2 linked regions of the Lepisosteus oculatus genome follow. The protein of the gene in region 1 binds, or shares a complex with, the protein of each later gene. Links are inferred from orthologs where the notes say so. Each region holds a gene or a part of one and is shown on either strand. Other genes may lie near its edges. The genes, in order: dlat and pdk3a.

What was found.
Region 2: the proteins of dlat (region 1) and pdk3a are in contact, whole or in part, in a crystal structure (PDB 1Y8N), measured with the Homo sapiens proteins. The link is inferred for Lepisosteus oculatus from reciprocal best matches to the Homo sapiens genes DLAT and PDK3. Residues at the interface, in NP_001922.2 of Homo sapiens: Ala225, Leu226, Ser227, Pro228, Thr229, Glu248, Gly249, Lys259, Ala260, Ile262, Glu265; in NP_005382.1 of Homo sapiens: Arg21, Phe22, Ser23, Pro24, Ser25, Pro26, Leu27, Phe48, Lys51, Val55, Asn373, Lys374, Ser375, Arg378.

What each region holds. Positions count from the first base shown.
Region 1 is NC_090718.1:15,305,946-15,313,763, reverse strand, and holds the start of dlat (dihydrolipoyllysine-residue acetyltransferase component of pyruvate dehydrogenase complex, mitochondrial), read left to right. Parts: upstream 1-4,741; 5' UTR 4,742-4,935; coding exon 4,936-5,187; intron 5,188-6,359; coding exon 6,360-6,461; intron 6,462-6,630; coding exon 6,631-6,755; intron 6,756-7,191; coding exon 7,192-7,342; intron 7,343-7,654; coding exon 7,655-7,781; intron 7,782-7,818.
Region 2 is NC_090700.1:1,514,672-1,521,873, forward strand, and holds the start of pdk3a (pyruvate dehydrogenase (acetyl-transferring) kinase isozyme 3, mitochondrial), read left to right. Parts: upstream 1-4,015; 5' UTR 4,016-4,283; coding exon 4,284-4,389; intron 4,390-7,202. UniProt on the Homo sapiens protein: Inhibits pyruvate dehydrogenase activity by phosphorylation of the E1 subunit PDHA1, and thereby regulates glucose metabolism and aerobic respiration. Can also phosphorylate PDHA2.

The sequences.
Region 1 (7,818 bases):
AGACTGCACACAGCATCCAGTAAGGGCGCACACTGCATCCACACAGCAGCAGCGCTGTCTCTGTCCTCCTCCCACCCCTGCGGCCCCTCCTGCTGCACAGAGCTGGGGCCTCAAAGTCAGCTTTCAGCCAAAGACCACACGACATGCTCCCTGCAATAGGAAAGACGGCCAACATTCCTGACTGTGCTTCTGCACGAGCTTAGACAAGGAGAAGCTTAGGAGCTGCCTGGAATATTAGTTCAGCCAGGGGAATGAGACTCCGATTGCATTGCACTCTACTCCACTCCAGGTTTTGTGGCTCCACCTCAGACATGCAGTATGTAGTACCTGTACAGTTTTACTATTGCTATCTTATTTTTAGAACGATTTACACATGAACACACTGCACATGCAGAATAAGATCAGATACAGTTTAATAGTTCAACTTTATGATGATGTAATTACTTTATTATTGTTTCACTGTTTCATCACCAGTTTGTTTGAGAGCCGGGGTGTGGCAAAACCAGAAGTGGATCAAACTGCTGTGCAATCCGTCTTTTTTGATTGAATCGGAGAGCTTTGAGGACTCTTCCGGGCCAAGACTCAGTAGTATCATTTCTGTACTGAGAGCTTTTTTTAGGTACTTTGTTAATAAATACAGGTAAATTGCAGAGAGAGGAGGAGAGCTGGCAGTGATGTTGCATTGAGTGAAGGCTAGACGACCAGTCAGCACTGTCAACAGTTGGGCTGAGACCAGCCTGTTTGTGTCCTGTTGGAGCCCGTGGGAGATGTCAGGCCTTGAGTGTGGAATGTTGTACACAGAGGAGTTTCGAGCTTGTTCACACTGAACTCCAGTGGGCTGGAGCGGGTTGCTGAATTATTTTCTCAGTCCACAAGCACCTTTGCCTAATGTGACACACTGATGAAGTTCACACCTGTCATGCTTGCTCACGCAGGACCTGCTGTATTGACAAATGGCCGTGTTCCCGTAGAAACTAATGGAGAATCGATGGGTGTGTTCTCAGTCAGAGTGTTATTGTGCCCTAAACAAGCTGAAGGTGCTTTTGTCACTCCAGCTGTGTCCAGCATCTCAGTGAGGTGGACAGTATGGGCAGTGGCCCGGTGCCTTGTGCTGCCCTGTTTGGAGTTTGCGTGTGAATGTGCCGGGAGTGAGCTGGCGCAGTTGACCAGGTGCCCGTCTTGTGTGTCCATGACTTCCGCCACTCTTGGTGGGCAAGAGCGAGGGGCAGGAGGGAGCTGGGCAAGACTGGCCTGAGATACCCCTTGCGGAGAGTTGGTTTGAAAGGCTGTCTCTACTGTTTCAGTGTGGCGTCAATGAATCCCATTTCTAACGGTGTTTGTAAATCTAGTTTTATACGTTGTGAATTAATTGCACAAAGGTGTTTTTCTACATGTGTGTGAACTGGTACTGGAACCGGTGTCTCTGTATTTGGTTCACTGGGCCGCTCTGATACTCTGCGGCTGCTGTCTGTGTGAATTTCTCACTCGCTGTCTCCTCTGGCTGAGCAGTTTGAGGATAGGACTGGTCCTGTCTGCCCCCCAAAACCACAACTTTCCTGACATCATGGGGGAAACTGGGTCACACTTGGGGTGTGACATGACACAACCTTGAACCCACGACCTCTGTATCATAGAGCTCAGCATGAGCCTTTCCTTCTCAGCCCCTCGGAAACCCCTTGTGCGCTGCTCTGAGGCAGTTTGAGGTATGGTTTGAATGAGCCACAAGCACGCAAAAAAGCCATAGAGAAAAATGCTGTGGAGAGGGGAGAACTGAGATCCCTCCCTCACTCCCCCTCTGGTCTGCAGTCTGTCCGAGGGCTGGGGGCTCACAGTGACACCCACTGGGTGCCTCCCAGTTTGCACAGACGCTCTTCCCCCATCTAGCTGGGACAGATCTGGAGTTCCTTAAAGAGGCTCAGCCAGGAGGGAGGTTTGTGACTAAAAACAGTTTAAAACTTGTGCAGAATATGTTTCTGCTCCGCAGCTGGGAGAGCAGGGGACCAAGCTTAACCTGAACTTTATTCACTTGTGTTCAATGGAAACAAAAACTTTTGTACTGTTTTCAAGCAGCTCTCTTTTCTCACAGTTTTTATATGTTTTTTGTTTTGTTTTGTAAAGGACTGGCTCGCCCCTGTTTGATGCAGACCGTGACTATGTTTTTAAACTGTTTTAATCCCTGATCAGTTTTTTAATCCCTGATCAATTTACTGGTTCACCATGAAAGGCAGGTGCAGGCTGCACCTTGCAGGATTGGCCTTTGAAAACAGGGCTTGTTTCAGGTTCCTACTGCTGTATCAGCGCCCTTGTTCCAGCCCTGCCTTCCTCATCAGTCGCTGTGCTCAGACCCTTGCGCTGTTCAAGAAGGGAGCTGCATGACAGGGACCGAGTCTCCCAGTCCCTTCCCCTCATGCTCAGCGCTTAGTGCTCAGATGGCTGCTGCTGGCTTCAGTGTTTTGTCTTTCTCAGTGCCACGCGTATTATCTGGAGCTGCGTCAGCATGCGGAGACTGCAAAGGAACACATTAAAGGTTAATTCCAGGCTGAAGAAGAGAGGAAAGGAATCACGTTTCGGCTGTGGAGCCTCATGCCCGAAGAAGGCTCCACAGCCGAAACGTTGTGATTCCTTTCTTCTCTTCTTCAGCAGGGAATAGACCTTTTACATATGATCTGATATTTCACTACCAGAATTATTTTTGTGTCTCTGTAAGCAGAGCAGACTTTTGTGATAACTGTGAGCTGAAGTTTACATCACAAAGATTTAAAAGCACTGACATGGGGTGATATTCCTTCTCCATTGCAGGTTGAGTTAGGACAGTGCTTCGGGACCATAAGCTGTACCGGCTTTCTTGTCTGGTTAAAATCAGACAAATTCGCAAGACAAAAGATGTGCCGATTCCTGGGTTACATCCAGATAGCCTGTTGAATTGATCAGTAACTTCAAAGCTGTAGAGCTGGGTGATACAATTTGCTGGATCAGTGCTATCTGGGACTGGGGTTTTCTCACTGCTATATGTGTCTGTGAAGAGCTCCAGATACAGGCAGCAATGCACAGCTACTGGACTGGCTGTGGTGACATCACTAAAGCCCTGCTTGTTCACGCCTGGGGGTCACTGTGCGCGACGGTCACTGCTGGGGCCAGAGAGGACCAGTCTGTCCTGGCCAGGCAGAGCTCATGCAGAGTGTGTTCAGGAGTCATGTAACTTTACTATCATTCCCCTCTGTGTCAGACCACAGACAGTGACAATAAACAAATCAATAAACCACTCTCTCTGTTTTCATAAATCATCTCTCCTGTTGAAAGGGGGTCTGTGGCTGTCTGATTTTACACATCCCTGCAACTCCTAAAAGTTGCTAAGTTGTTTTTTTTCCCTTGCTGTATTTCCTCACTTACTCTATGAACATTAGAGCTTCTGCTTCAGGACCTGCAGGCCTGACTCCTCAGGCCAGATCCCAGCTGTACTATGCCTGCTCCTGCATGCTATCTCCTGGGTTTCGCTGTCATTCTCATCTCAGTGCCAGGCCTGATGCCACCTATGATCCTGGAGTATCCTGACAAGGAGGTGTGCAGTAGAGAGGCAGAACATCAGTGCATGTTTTTTAAAAACGGGCCTGTCTGGTCCCTCTGGCCTGAGTGCTCACAGCCTGCGTTGCACGGTTGGTTTCTGTAGAAACGCCCCCCTGCTGTCACTGTGTTTCAGAAGAGCCGCGAACGAGGCGTACACTGCACTGCTCGCTGGCACAAGTCTCGATTCGAACCTGCTGCTTCACACGCCCAGCAGAACCGCAGGCAGATACCCGGGACACTGACGTTTCACAAGACGCCTGCTTCGAGAATCAGTCCGATACATCATAAGAAACCAAGACACACTGTTATTGTTCAGCTTATTCTGCAAAAGTTCCTTAATTTTTACTTCACTGACGATATTTCATGGCAACTTCTAAAGGAAGTTAAAGGTGCTTCCCAGGCCACTTCACACAGTTTATACAGCGGTGTCTGCGCGCCCCCTGGAGGCGACAGGTGGAACTACTGCTGTTCTGTCACTCGTGGACATTCAGTTGAGCCGGATGCTCTGCAACAGAGTCTCGGTATTGCCTGCAGGGCCTCAGTGTTTCCGGTTTTACTTGCTTAAAATCAAAGCGTATGTTGGTTCTTTATAAACAGCATCTACCCTCTATTAAGGGAGAAGACAAATCCTCGACAACTCGAGAACATGTAAACTCGCAAAAGGTGCCCCCGACCGGAATCGAACCCAGGTCACGCCGCAATGTTCGAGAACATTTCTGTGTTGTTTCACCTTGTATCTAGATCAGCTACACGTGCGATATAAGCTGCCTTATCAATAGCTTATAGAATACATAGAAGATACTTTTTATTCATGCCATCCCGCAACGCAATTTTGAATTGACAGTTTTCAATCGATGTATGCCTGCTCACTGGTTTAGGTTCTTTTCAAAACCACAACGCAAGAAAAAGAGAACGCGGAGGGGATCTGTTCTACATCTTTAGTTACTGGTAGAGTTACTGAGCTCTACCAAGACCGATATTTTAAAACAACAATATCAGAGAAACACAGTAGGGTAGTTATTAGCTAATGTATTTCAACAGGACGCCGAGGTCAGAGTCGCAAAAGCTGAGTCCTATAAAAAGCGACACCACCCCCTCCCGCCTGTGCAGAGGCAGAGACGCGCTGCTTGACGACAGCGTGCTTTACGACCTCACACGACTCTGGTGGGCGGAGCCTAGGTGCTGCGGGTAAGCCGTAAAGCGAGATGTTTTGAGACGGGGAGGTCATTGGAAAGTGAGGGAGGGACTCTCGTTATAAACTGGGGGACACCGGAGCGGCATTAAGGCTGTCGGCTCTGAAGCATTAAAAGGCCAGCTCTTCTGCAGAGTGGGGAACTTCTTGGTGTTGCGCCGTTAAGCGAGCAGCTCGGAATGTTGCGTTGGGCGGTGCGGTTGCGGCAGTCGGTGCGGGTCCCCCGCTTCGGCCCCGGCTCGGCCCCCGGGATGAGCTCCCGGCCGGGGTCCTGCCGTCTCAGGAGGTACCACTCCGGAGGTTCGGCCCGGGTCCGGCCCGTGTGCTACGCCACCGCGGTTACCTGCGGCAGGGGCGGGTTTCTGCAGAGTTACCTGTCCGCACGGAGCTGCCAAGGCAAGCGGCTGTACAGCCTGCCGCCCCACCAGAAGGTAAGGCTTCTCCCAGACGGGCTTGACGGTTTCCTGCTCGCCCACCTGGGCGGGCGTGTGCATCTTTATAGAGGCTTCTGTATAGAGCTCCCAAACTGTGTGGTGCAGCGTTAGGAATGGACAAAATGGCGCTGTGTAGGCTGCCAAATAAGTCTAAACTTTCTTTCACGGAGACATAAATGTTCCACCTTTCCAGTGCTTGGCACGAATTGCGCCACGGTGCTAAGTCGGGGTAACTGCTTAGCAACGCTAACGGCAGGCTTTCCTGTCCCGAGTGTTTCTGCTCCGCGCTGCGCGGCCGGCTGTCCGTGTCACCTTGCAGCTTGAGGCCGCTGGGCTCCGGGCCGGGCCGTAGCTCCTCTCCGAGAGCTGACCTTTCTCACGGGGCATTCTCTCCAGTGTGAGCTTCTCTTTCCCTGCGGTTCAGGCTCATAAACGGCTTGTTTCAGGTGTCCCTTTAGGTCACCTGAGAGAGAGGCTCCGAGGTTTGCTTCTGATGATCAGCTGTTCAGTGCCCGTCTAGCTCATGTGGTTTTTCGGTTGCTAATATCTTCTGGGGACCTCATCCAGACTTGTCTTGGATGATGCCGGAGTATTCGCCTCAATGACTTGGCTTTGCAGTTGTTCCGGACTTCCAGTAACACATTTTTTCTGCTTTGATCCTCAAATAAGTGCACACCTGTCCTGTCCTGTCCTCCTTGACAGCTGGGATTGTTACAGAAGTCTGTTGATGTGAAGCCCCTTGCCTCTGTAAAGCAGCAGTACCTCAGTGGGGATTCGAACCCACAGCTTGCCCTGACTGCTCCTCCACACTGCTCCCCTGCCTTAGTCTTGGCATCCCTGTGTGTGGAGAGCAGGCGTCCTGGACCTGACTGTGCATGCCCCTGGCTCCTATTGGACAGGGCTGTGGGCGTGTCCTGCACTGTGCTCTGCCATTTCTTCTCTTTTCAGCATGGAATAAACCTTTAACTTGTTCCTTTGCATTAAAATAAAATGGCCCAATTTCCCAAAATAAATCGCTCAGCAGTATGGGACACAAATGAGCAGGGTGTTGAAGAGAGCAGCCTTGCGGTTTTCGATGCAGAGGTTGAATGCGCGCTTTAACAGTAAGTGCGCCTGTGCGAGGAGGAGGAGGAGGTCTCTGTGTCACGGTGTGGTTTGGCTCTGTGCAGGTGGTGCTGCCCGCACTCTCCCCCACAATGCAGAATGGCACCATCGCTCGCTGGGAGAAGAAAGAGGGGGACAAGATCAGCGAGGGGGACCTGATCGCCGAGGTGAGGGTGCAGGACTGCTCCTGTGTCCCGTGGCTGCACAGTGCTGGCCCACAATTAGAGCCGTCGGCCATGCTGTCTCGTCTGTATTTCTCCCTTCATCTCTCTCCTTTCTCACACCTGCCTCGCCCTGGTCTTGCGTGCTCTAACCCCACACTCGCTCTCTCGCCAGGTGGAGACGGACAAGGCCACGGTGGGCTTTGAGATTCTGGAGGAGTGTTACTTGGCGAAGATCCTGGTGGCAGAGGGAACCAGGGACGTGCCCATTGGTGCCGTCATCTGTATAACTGTGGAGAGGTAAACTTCCCGTTTCCGCTTTCCTGTCTTGGATCAGGCAGCGAAGAACTATCGTAGCCTTTAAAATAGCTGGGAAGAAAAGCCCGATGTCTAATCCTGCAGTTTTCAGGACTCTATCGCTTCTCAGACACTGCTGTTAATGGGCAGACAAGACAGGTTTGCAGAGAATTTGGAAACGGTCTGTAACTGATGTTGAGTGGCGTCTGCGAAGCACTGCAGGAGTTTGGGTTGCAAGCAGAGTTGCTGAGCTTTTAGGCGAGCGATTGTGGATTTTAGTTGAGTGCCCAGCGCTGGTCCTGCTGTTCTGAGTGTCCCCAGGAAGGGCTCTGGGCAGAAGCAGTAGCTGGTCTGTGGGGCTGCCTGCCTGCCTGCTTGCTGTGTTTGTGGGCAGCCTGTGTCTGACATCATGCTGTTGCTCGTTCTGCCCTCCCTGCAGCCCTGACCTCGTCCCTGCCTTCAAAGACTACACTCTGGACATGGCATCTGCACCCCCCAGCCCAGCAGCAACAGCGGCGGCGGCGGCCCCTCCCCCCCCTGCCGCGGCCCCCCCACAGCCGCCCGGCAGCTCCTACCCCCCGCACATGAAGGTAGGAGCATCGCCTGGCTGGTGCAGCAGCGGTGATGCCTTTACCGCGAGCGACGCGGCAGGAGAGCGAGTTCAGGAGACTCCCCTCTCCAGTACAGAAGTGGAAGTTAAATACTTCATCGCGGGCCCCCACTTTCTGAGAGTGTCCACTAAGCTTCCTTTTATAAAGGATGCTTGGCGGTGCTTTGCGTTTTTAGATGCTTGACACCCTTATAATGCTGGTGATGACAAAGTACCTTATGAAGGAACTGGAAACTGAACTTCCTGTTTCTGTGCCCCCTGACGTTGCCTGGGTGTGCTGTGCCCCTGCCAGGTCCTGCTGCCAGCTCTTTCGCCCACCATGACCATGGGCACCGTGCAGCGCTGGGAGAAGAAGGTGGGCGAGAAGCTGAGTGAGGGGGACCTGCTGGCTGAGATCGAGACGGACAAGGCCACCATCGGTGAGGCCGCTGGGCGCCCACGCCGACATCGACGCGC
Region 2 (7,202 bases), on another chromosome or scaffold:
CCAGGTGTTGTCAGAGGTGATGCCACTAGCGCTGTGTTGCCATGTGTTCAGTCTGCAGTGTGCACAATTACTGGCTCAGACTCAATCAGGACAAACTGCCAGCTCAGCTTTTCTTTGGACAGACGTGTCTTTCTTCTGTTCAGTGGAAACTCACCGTGGTGGACTGGGCCTGTAACAGTGATTAGCGCAGGAGCCGAAGAGTCTGACTCTGGGCCTTCATGAAGGTGAGGTAGATTTCCGAAGTGTCCTGTGGCTCAGGCTGGTGGTGAACCCATTTAGAGAGGAGGAATTAAAACACTAGTTATTGAGGGTGATTGGTCTGGGATTTTCAGCACAGTCACCAGGGCTGCCTGAGGTTCAGAAAGGAGTCAGGCTGCAGAATAATACAAGACTCTGTGCTCAGAAGATATGGACACCGTCATCATTATCTTCATCATCTTGTTAAAGCTCTTTGTCATATGATGCCATCTTCCATTGTGTGTTTATATCGGTTTGTTTTTTAAACAAAAGTGCATATAAATAGAAAAAAAAGAAATAGAAAGGGGTATTTTTATAATACCTAATATCTTAATTGATGTACCAACAGGCAAACAATAACAAATATGAAGTATATATATTTTGTAATGAGTCGTGTCCTTGACTTTGCAGTACGCTTTTAGTTTCGAAGTAAAGAGGTGAGATTAAGGTGAGAAAATGAGCAGTCCTCCCAGTGCAAACTTGTGGAATCAGAATTCCAGAGAGAGCGTTCTGGGATTACAAGATATCAGTTGTTGTGTGAGCTAATAAACGGTTGAATTTCTTTGGTGTGTGAGTGCTTTCTGAAGAAAGATATAACATCCATTAATTGGCAGTTTTTGGACTAAAATATATTATTCAATATTTTATCTTATTTTAAGCACAATAGTTGCTATGTAAATGTATACAGTATACTATAATTACTGTATAAACTAAATATTATATTCCTGGACAATTGAAACTGCCTGTGATATGAAAACTGTTCTTGGCTGCTGTTTCATTAAAAGATGTGTATTGTGCTCTTTAGATAAAGAGGTTTGATTAATAAAATCCATATCCTGCAACAATGTGCCAATTTACAAGTTTCAGTGGTATATGATAATAAAATCGTGTCATTCACTCAGCACTGTGTCAAGGAACTGGATTTCAGAGAACAGGAACTGGGCCAAAGATCATATGCTTTTCAGGAATACTTTCTATTCTGGGCTTCCATTGTTCAATCCCTGATTCCCGAAAGTTCCCACGGATTTGGGATTGTTCCCAGGTCCATCCTGATAGATCTGGCCTATCTTTTTTTGGAACGCTGAATGCTTCGCAGATCCAGACCATGAGAACTAGGGATATTTGGCTCTTTCTTAGCAAGTAACCTAATGTTCAATGTTTATAACTGCAGCGGTATAAATATTTATACACATCATTTATTTTGTTAAAAAAAACAACCCCCACTGTCTTGGATTTTTTCGAATGCACCCACATACAGTACTATGATCTTTGCTGTCATTTAACGCTCAGTACTGGCTGCTTCCCATTAGGTGGCGTAAGGTATCCATCTTCTGTGTAAATGCTGTCTTACAGCAAATCCAGCACGCAGCTCGCTTTAAAAGCAAAACCTGCGATTAACAATAAACACAATATCATTTCCCAAAAAAAACGAAAATCAGCTCTGCGGTAAAACCGCAATGCAGATGCTAAAGGTATTTTATAGGGTTGCGATCTTTCTACCCCCTATCCAAATGCAATACTATATATAAACCAGAGTCAGAATCACTTTCTTTGCCAAATATGTTACATGTACAAGGAATTTGATCTTGTGTCGTTGTGCCAAAACACAGATAGAAACAATCGATAATACAAATACACTTCACACCAAGAACGTGCACAGAGGACCACAGTTCCTGACGCAGTGGGTCTCGTATCCAGGGGGACGGCCACAGGGAAGAAGCTGTTCAGGTGCCCAGCAGCGTTGGTTTCGATCGGCTGGTAGCGTCTCCCCAAGGTTAATTAAACAGGTGGTGTCCTGGACAAGGGGAGTTTTCTGCTCGATTCTTTAGTCTGAGTTTATACAGGAGGTGTTGGAGGTGGTTATTCCTAGGAACTTGAAAGACTCCACCATACCCACTGCGACCTTGACCGTTTCTAGGGGTTTTTCAGAAAATCAAATTAACATTTCTTCGGTTCTGAGACCGTTGAGCTGAAGGGCGCTGTTGACACGCCCTGCCGCCAGACGATCCGCTGCCCGTCTGTGCCTGTTCTCGTCAGACCCACCAGCAGTGTGACAGAGGGGCCGTTGGAGGTACAGTCCTTGGGATACAGAGGGCACAGTCATGGGGAGACAACAGAGGCTTGAGGTGCACCAGTGCTCACAGATACGCAGTCTGACAGATCACAGCCAATCTGCACTCATTGCCTTCCCTTGTGTCCACTGGCAGGTGGGGAGGAGAACATTCAAATGAGTCACTTTTTTGCGGAGGGCTTCTGGGATGATGGTCTCGAATGGAGAGCTAAAATCAACAAGTAGGAGTCTGACATATGTTCCTGGAGATTCCAGATGCTGTATGTAGTATGTAGTGGAGGCAAACACTAACAGCATCATCCACTGGCTTATTGGCTCAGTATTGAATCTGTGATAGTTTTGAGGGATCTGAGTATGCGGCTCTCAAAGGTTTTCATTGACAGAAGAAAGTGCAACTGGTCTATAGAGAGTATATGCCCAAAGGGGCAATAGTCAGGTTGCATGATCCTTCTTGGGAGCAGGGATGATAGCAGAGGGGCTGAAGCAGGTAGGGCCCACACTGACCCATGGACAGCTGGAATCTGTCTGTGAATTCTGGGGAGAGCTGAGCAGCACAGTGCTTCAGTGGCTGGAGAAACCAAACCAGGACCAGACGCCTTCCTGCAGTTTGGGCTGGCAAAGAGCTTAAGGGACTTCCTGCTCTTTACCAAGGGGAGAGAAGATCCAGCGTGTTCTGCTGCCTGCAGGGAGAGGGGGCAGGGGGGAGCCAGGGGGGTTGTGAGGTACTGGAGAATAAAGGACATAGCAACAGATTGCATGAACTATTGTTAAGAATTTTGTTTGCTTATCAAATCTACAGTAAAACTGGTTCAGTTTGTCTGGAAGACAAAGGGGGGGATTTCTGTGGTTTGTGTTAGCTGGAAGGCCCCTCCACACTGTGGATCAGTCATTGTTAGCAAATTTCAGTTGGGACCCTTTCATGTGTTTGGATTTTGCATGACTGGGCTTTGTTGAGATGAGATTTTGCTTCCCTGTAAATCCGCCGTTCTCATTAGCCTCCTCCTGGGCTTCGCCTTTACAGTAGATGCGTCTTTTGCAGGGTCGTGACTTGAAAGAGCAGAGCCTTGGTTGGGCGCTTGATGAGTTAATTCTGAGGATTAGATTCAGCTTACTCACAACATGAGCCGCAACACGTACCGGAGCGCCGCTTCAGCCGGTGTCGAAGGGGGACACCGGCGGTGGGATCGTGATTTCGGTTTTACTCCATTTCCGCGCAAGATGCAGTCAGGGCTGCCAGAACGTTACGCACACCTTGAGCAGCCTAACCCCAGCTTTGTGACACATCTTTTGCAGCCTACAAGCCTAAGTGAAATATACCGGGGGCGGCGAATTATGTGGCAGTGCAGTCTGTCCACCTGTGGACAGGGAGCTGCTTGGAGAAATAGCGAGCTCTGTTCCACGGAGAAAGAAAGGGCCTTTGGGGTTTGCAATCAGTGCTTCCCTGGCGTGGTTGTATTGAGCTATTCACACGTGTCGTCCGGATGGAAACGCCAGTAAGACGGACGCAGCCCCCCAGCCTGCGTAGCCCCTTCACAGCGTGCAACTGTGACACCAGTACTTTCGAAATAGCATCAGTCACACTAACCCCTGCGGAAGACCCGAGCAGCCCACCCAGAATGGTGTGAGCGACACCTAGCTGGTCCAATAGAACGAAATTATACTTTTCCGCGTTGCAGCTAAGGACCAATTAGAAATGGTCTAGGGGCAGGACGATATGTTCTCAAGGATGGTTGACCGGAACGTGGTGTACGTGCCGTTTAATGCCACAATGTATCGCAGAAGACTGCCTAGAGGGCATCAAATGTAGCAATAACGAAGTTTTTAGACAATCTGGTATAGCACCGGCTAGCAAGAAGGAGCACGGCCTGATGACATCACCGGCTGTTCGTTTTGATTGAATTTCCCCCGATTTATTCCCATCACTACATCCATGCAGTTTTACTGGAGGCATCATCAGTGAAAACAACATTCAATTATGAGGCTGTTTCGACTTCTCCTGAAAAACAGCACTCCGAAGCAGATAGAATATTATTCAAGATTTTCCCCCTCTCCGCTGTCCATAAAGCAATTCCTGGATTTCGGTAAGTAGGAATACTTCCAAATAAGCAACAGCTTTTGGTTGTTCTAATTAATCAGTTGTCTATCAATATTCAAATGTGTTTATTTGTGTGTTATTTATCGCGTCATTAGCCGTTATGATAGAGACTAAATGAACTGAAACTCATTTATGTTCAAGACGATACTGAGCTACCAAGAAACTACGCTTAATCTTGAATTCAGGGTTATGGCGTCAGTTTTTCATTTAATAACATATGTAACCATATAAATATTTTCTATGACAACTGCAGTCTTCCTGCACAGCCTACTGCTTGAGCGGTCTCGCCAGTACAGTTAACCGCACTCCAGTGATACAGGCTCAGAAGCCAGACTCAAAAACAAATGCTTATTTGAACCTGTTTCACGTCAGCTGTCGTTTTGTTTGGGGACAGTGTGTTTATAGTTGTCAAGACCACATTACACTCATTTCTGAACAGTTTTAAACGCCCTGAAGCTGAAATTTTGCAGGAACGTATGAACGCATTAGCATGTTTCGGTGAATCGCCTGAACTCCAGGGATTGTTGTTCAAGCTTGGTGTGAAATGTAACGATTCGGCATCTGCTGCCACAAATCAGCTTCCTCATAAGTGTCTGAATTTAAAGGAACCCAAGACTAATCTAAATCACCGCATCAGCCTTAAGCTTTGCTTAAAATAGAACCAGCCTCACCGCTATTGAGTCTGCACAGAGAAAGCGAATAGATTCCGCACGGCGTGTGATCTGGAGCAGACTCATGCCGGGGGTGACGTGAGGCAGCAGCTCTGATCTGCGACCTGCGTCTGTCGTGAGGCGTTCCGCCCGTGGCGATGAATGACCTACCCTGTACGGCCCGAAGGGAAAGTCACGCCACAAGCTGGAGCGTGTCGAAGAGGGCGGAGAGGTGGCACTGTGGTTAAGGGTCTGCTCCTGTGTCTGGAAGGTTGCCGGTTCGTATCCCGCAGCCGGCAGAGGAATCCTATTCCGTTGGGCCCCTGAGCAAGGCCCTGAACCCCAGCTGCTCCAGGGGCGCTGTATAAATGGCTGACCATGGCTGTGCTCGGACCCCAAGCTTCTCTCTCCCTGCCTGTGTGTCTCATGGAGAGCAAGTTGGGGTCTGTGACAAGACAAATTCCTAATGCAAGGGATTCAAGCCTGAAGGGGTTAGAATAGGAAACAGGACTTGTCTCTGTGAAACACAAACCAGAGGCCCTAGTGGAAACACCCAGTGCGTTTAGAGCACTTGACACTGTGGCGTATTCAGGTTACAGCTGCTCGAGATCCTCGGTCCAATAAGCTACCATCTTCCGAATGAGCTAGCTAGACCAACTGGCCTCCTGTGGTTTGTAACTTTCCTCACAATCTTGTTTTCTTTCATACGCGTGACGGACGTGTCTTCTGAAGTCAGGGTTACTTTTTCCCTATAAGCAGCCCAAAGGGACGTCCTCTTCAAATAAATTGGCATGCCTGAACTTGTCTGTGCTGGAAAGGTTTCCGACAAGCCTGTGGTGGTCAGGTCTCAAAATACCCCCTTTTTGGGTGGGCGTAGAGTGGAACGATCCTTTTTAAATTTTCAATTCTCTTGGCAGCTGCGTCCCGACACCAGGAATTGCATGGCCTGGTTTTATATGCGATTTAAGCAAGAGAAATTCCTTCATGAAACATACTCCTTTCAAGCGTGGGGGGCAGACAGACATGTAGCAGGGGCAGGTGGGGCTCAGCCCTTGTACTGTCACCCCTTAGTATGAGCAAAGAGGAAAGCTTGTCTTCACAGAAATGAGGCGGTTTGTCTGAAGTCTGGTGTGGTGTGTGTCCACTGGCCAGCTGCAGTTGAAACAGCGGATGAAGGCGGAGGTTTCCGCAGGAGTGGACAGGCTCCAGGGCTCTGCGGAGTGTGTCCACGCGGGGTTCTCTGTCGGACTGAGCCCAGGCTGCAGGCCCTGGGAATGTGTGCGCCGCAGGGAAGAGGGCTTGTGAGGATAAGCCGTTTTTTGTTATTTTCATGTGGGAAACAGCCTTGTGTCTCCAGTTGTGTGCCTTATTGTAACACCATTTTGACAGCAGAATTCAGTCGCCAAATTTTTCACCTGATTAACTGGATGCATATGGCATTGTAGCATGCTTTGCAAAGACTAACAGAAACCCCTCTTATTGACTCTAGACATGTTTGTTCACTTGCTCTATGCTTGCAGAGTGGCAAACATCCATTCTAATATAAAAATAACTGCATTTCTGGGTCTTCATATAATGAAATTTATACTTGTATTAAGTGAGCATTCATTCATTAAGGGAATATACACATTACAGGAAGTATTTTAGGAATGAAGAATTAATAGATTATAAGCATATCAGTTAAATGTGATTTTCTCCTGGAGTAAGTAGTTACATTGGAAATGCAGAGTCAAAGATCCAGGAGTTCTCCAAGTAGTAAGGTCAACTGTAAGTGACGGCACGTAATACTGAGTACTATGGCATAGATTATTCCCTGGAGCGATTCACTATTAACTGGTTTCCTGCTCATTTCTGTGAGCCTTGGGCCTCTCCTTCAACATGTTCAGATCACAGCTCAGCACTGGCCAGAGGTGTGCATGCTTAATAGTGGATTAAGAGCTCAGAACCAATCGGCACTGAGTATCAAGCCCATCCCCTGACACACCTAGGGGTCAGAAGATTTTCCAGGATCAGTTTCCAGCTCTGGGTCGTGTGTCAGACGTGCCTAAAGTTCTTGGCAGCTCCTAGAAATAAGCACGTATACTGCTGCTCGTGGACAGAGTCCATCGCAGAGCTGAATGCTACGCGTGCAGCTCTCTGCAGTGTGAGA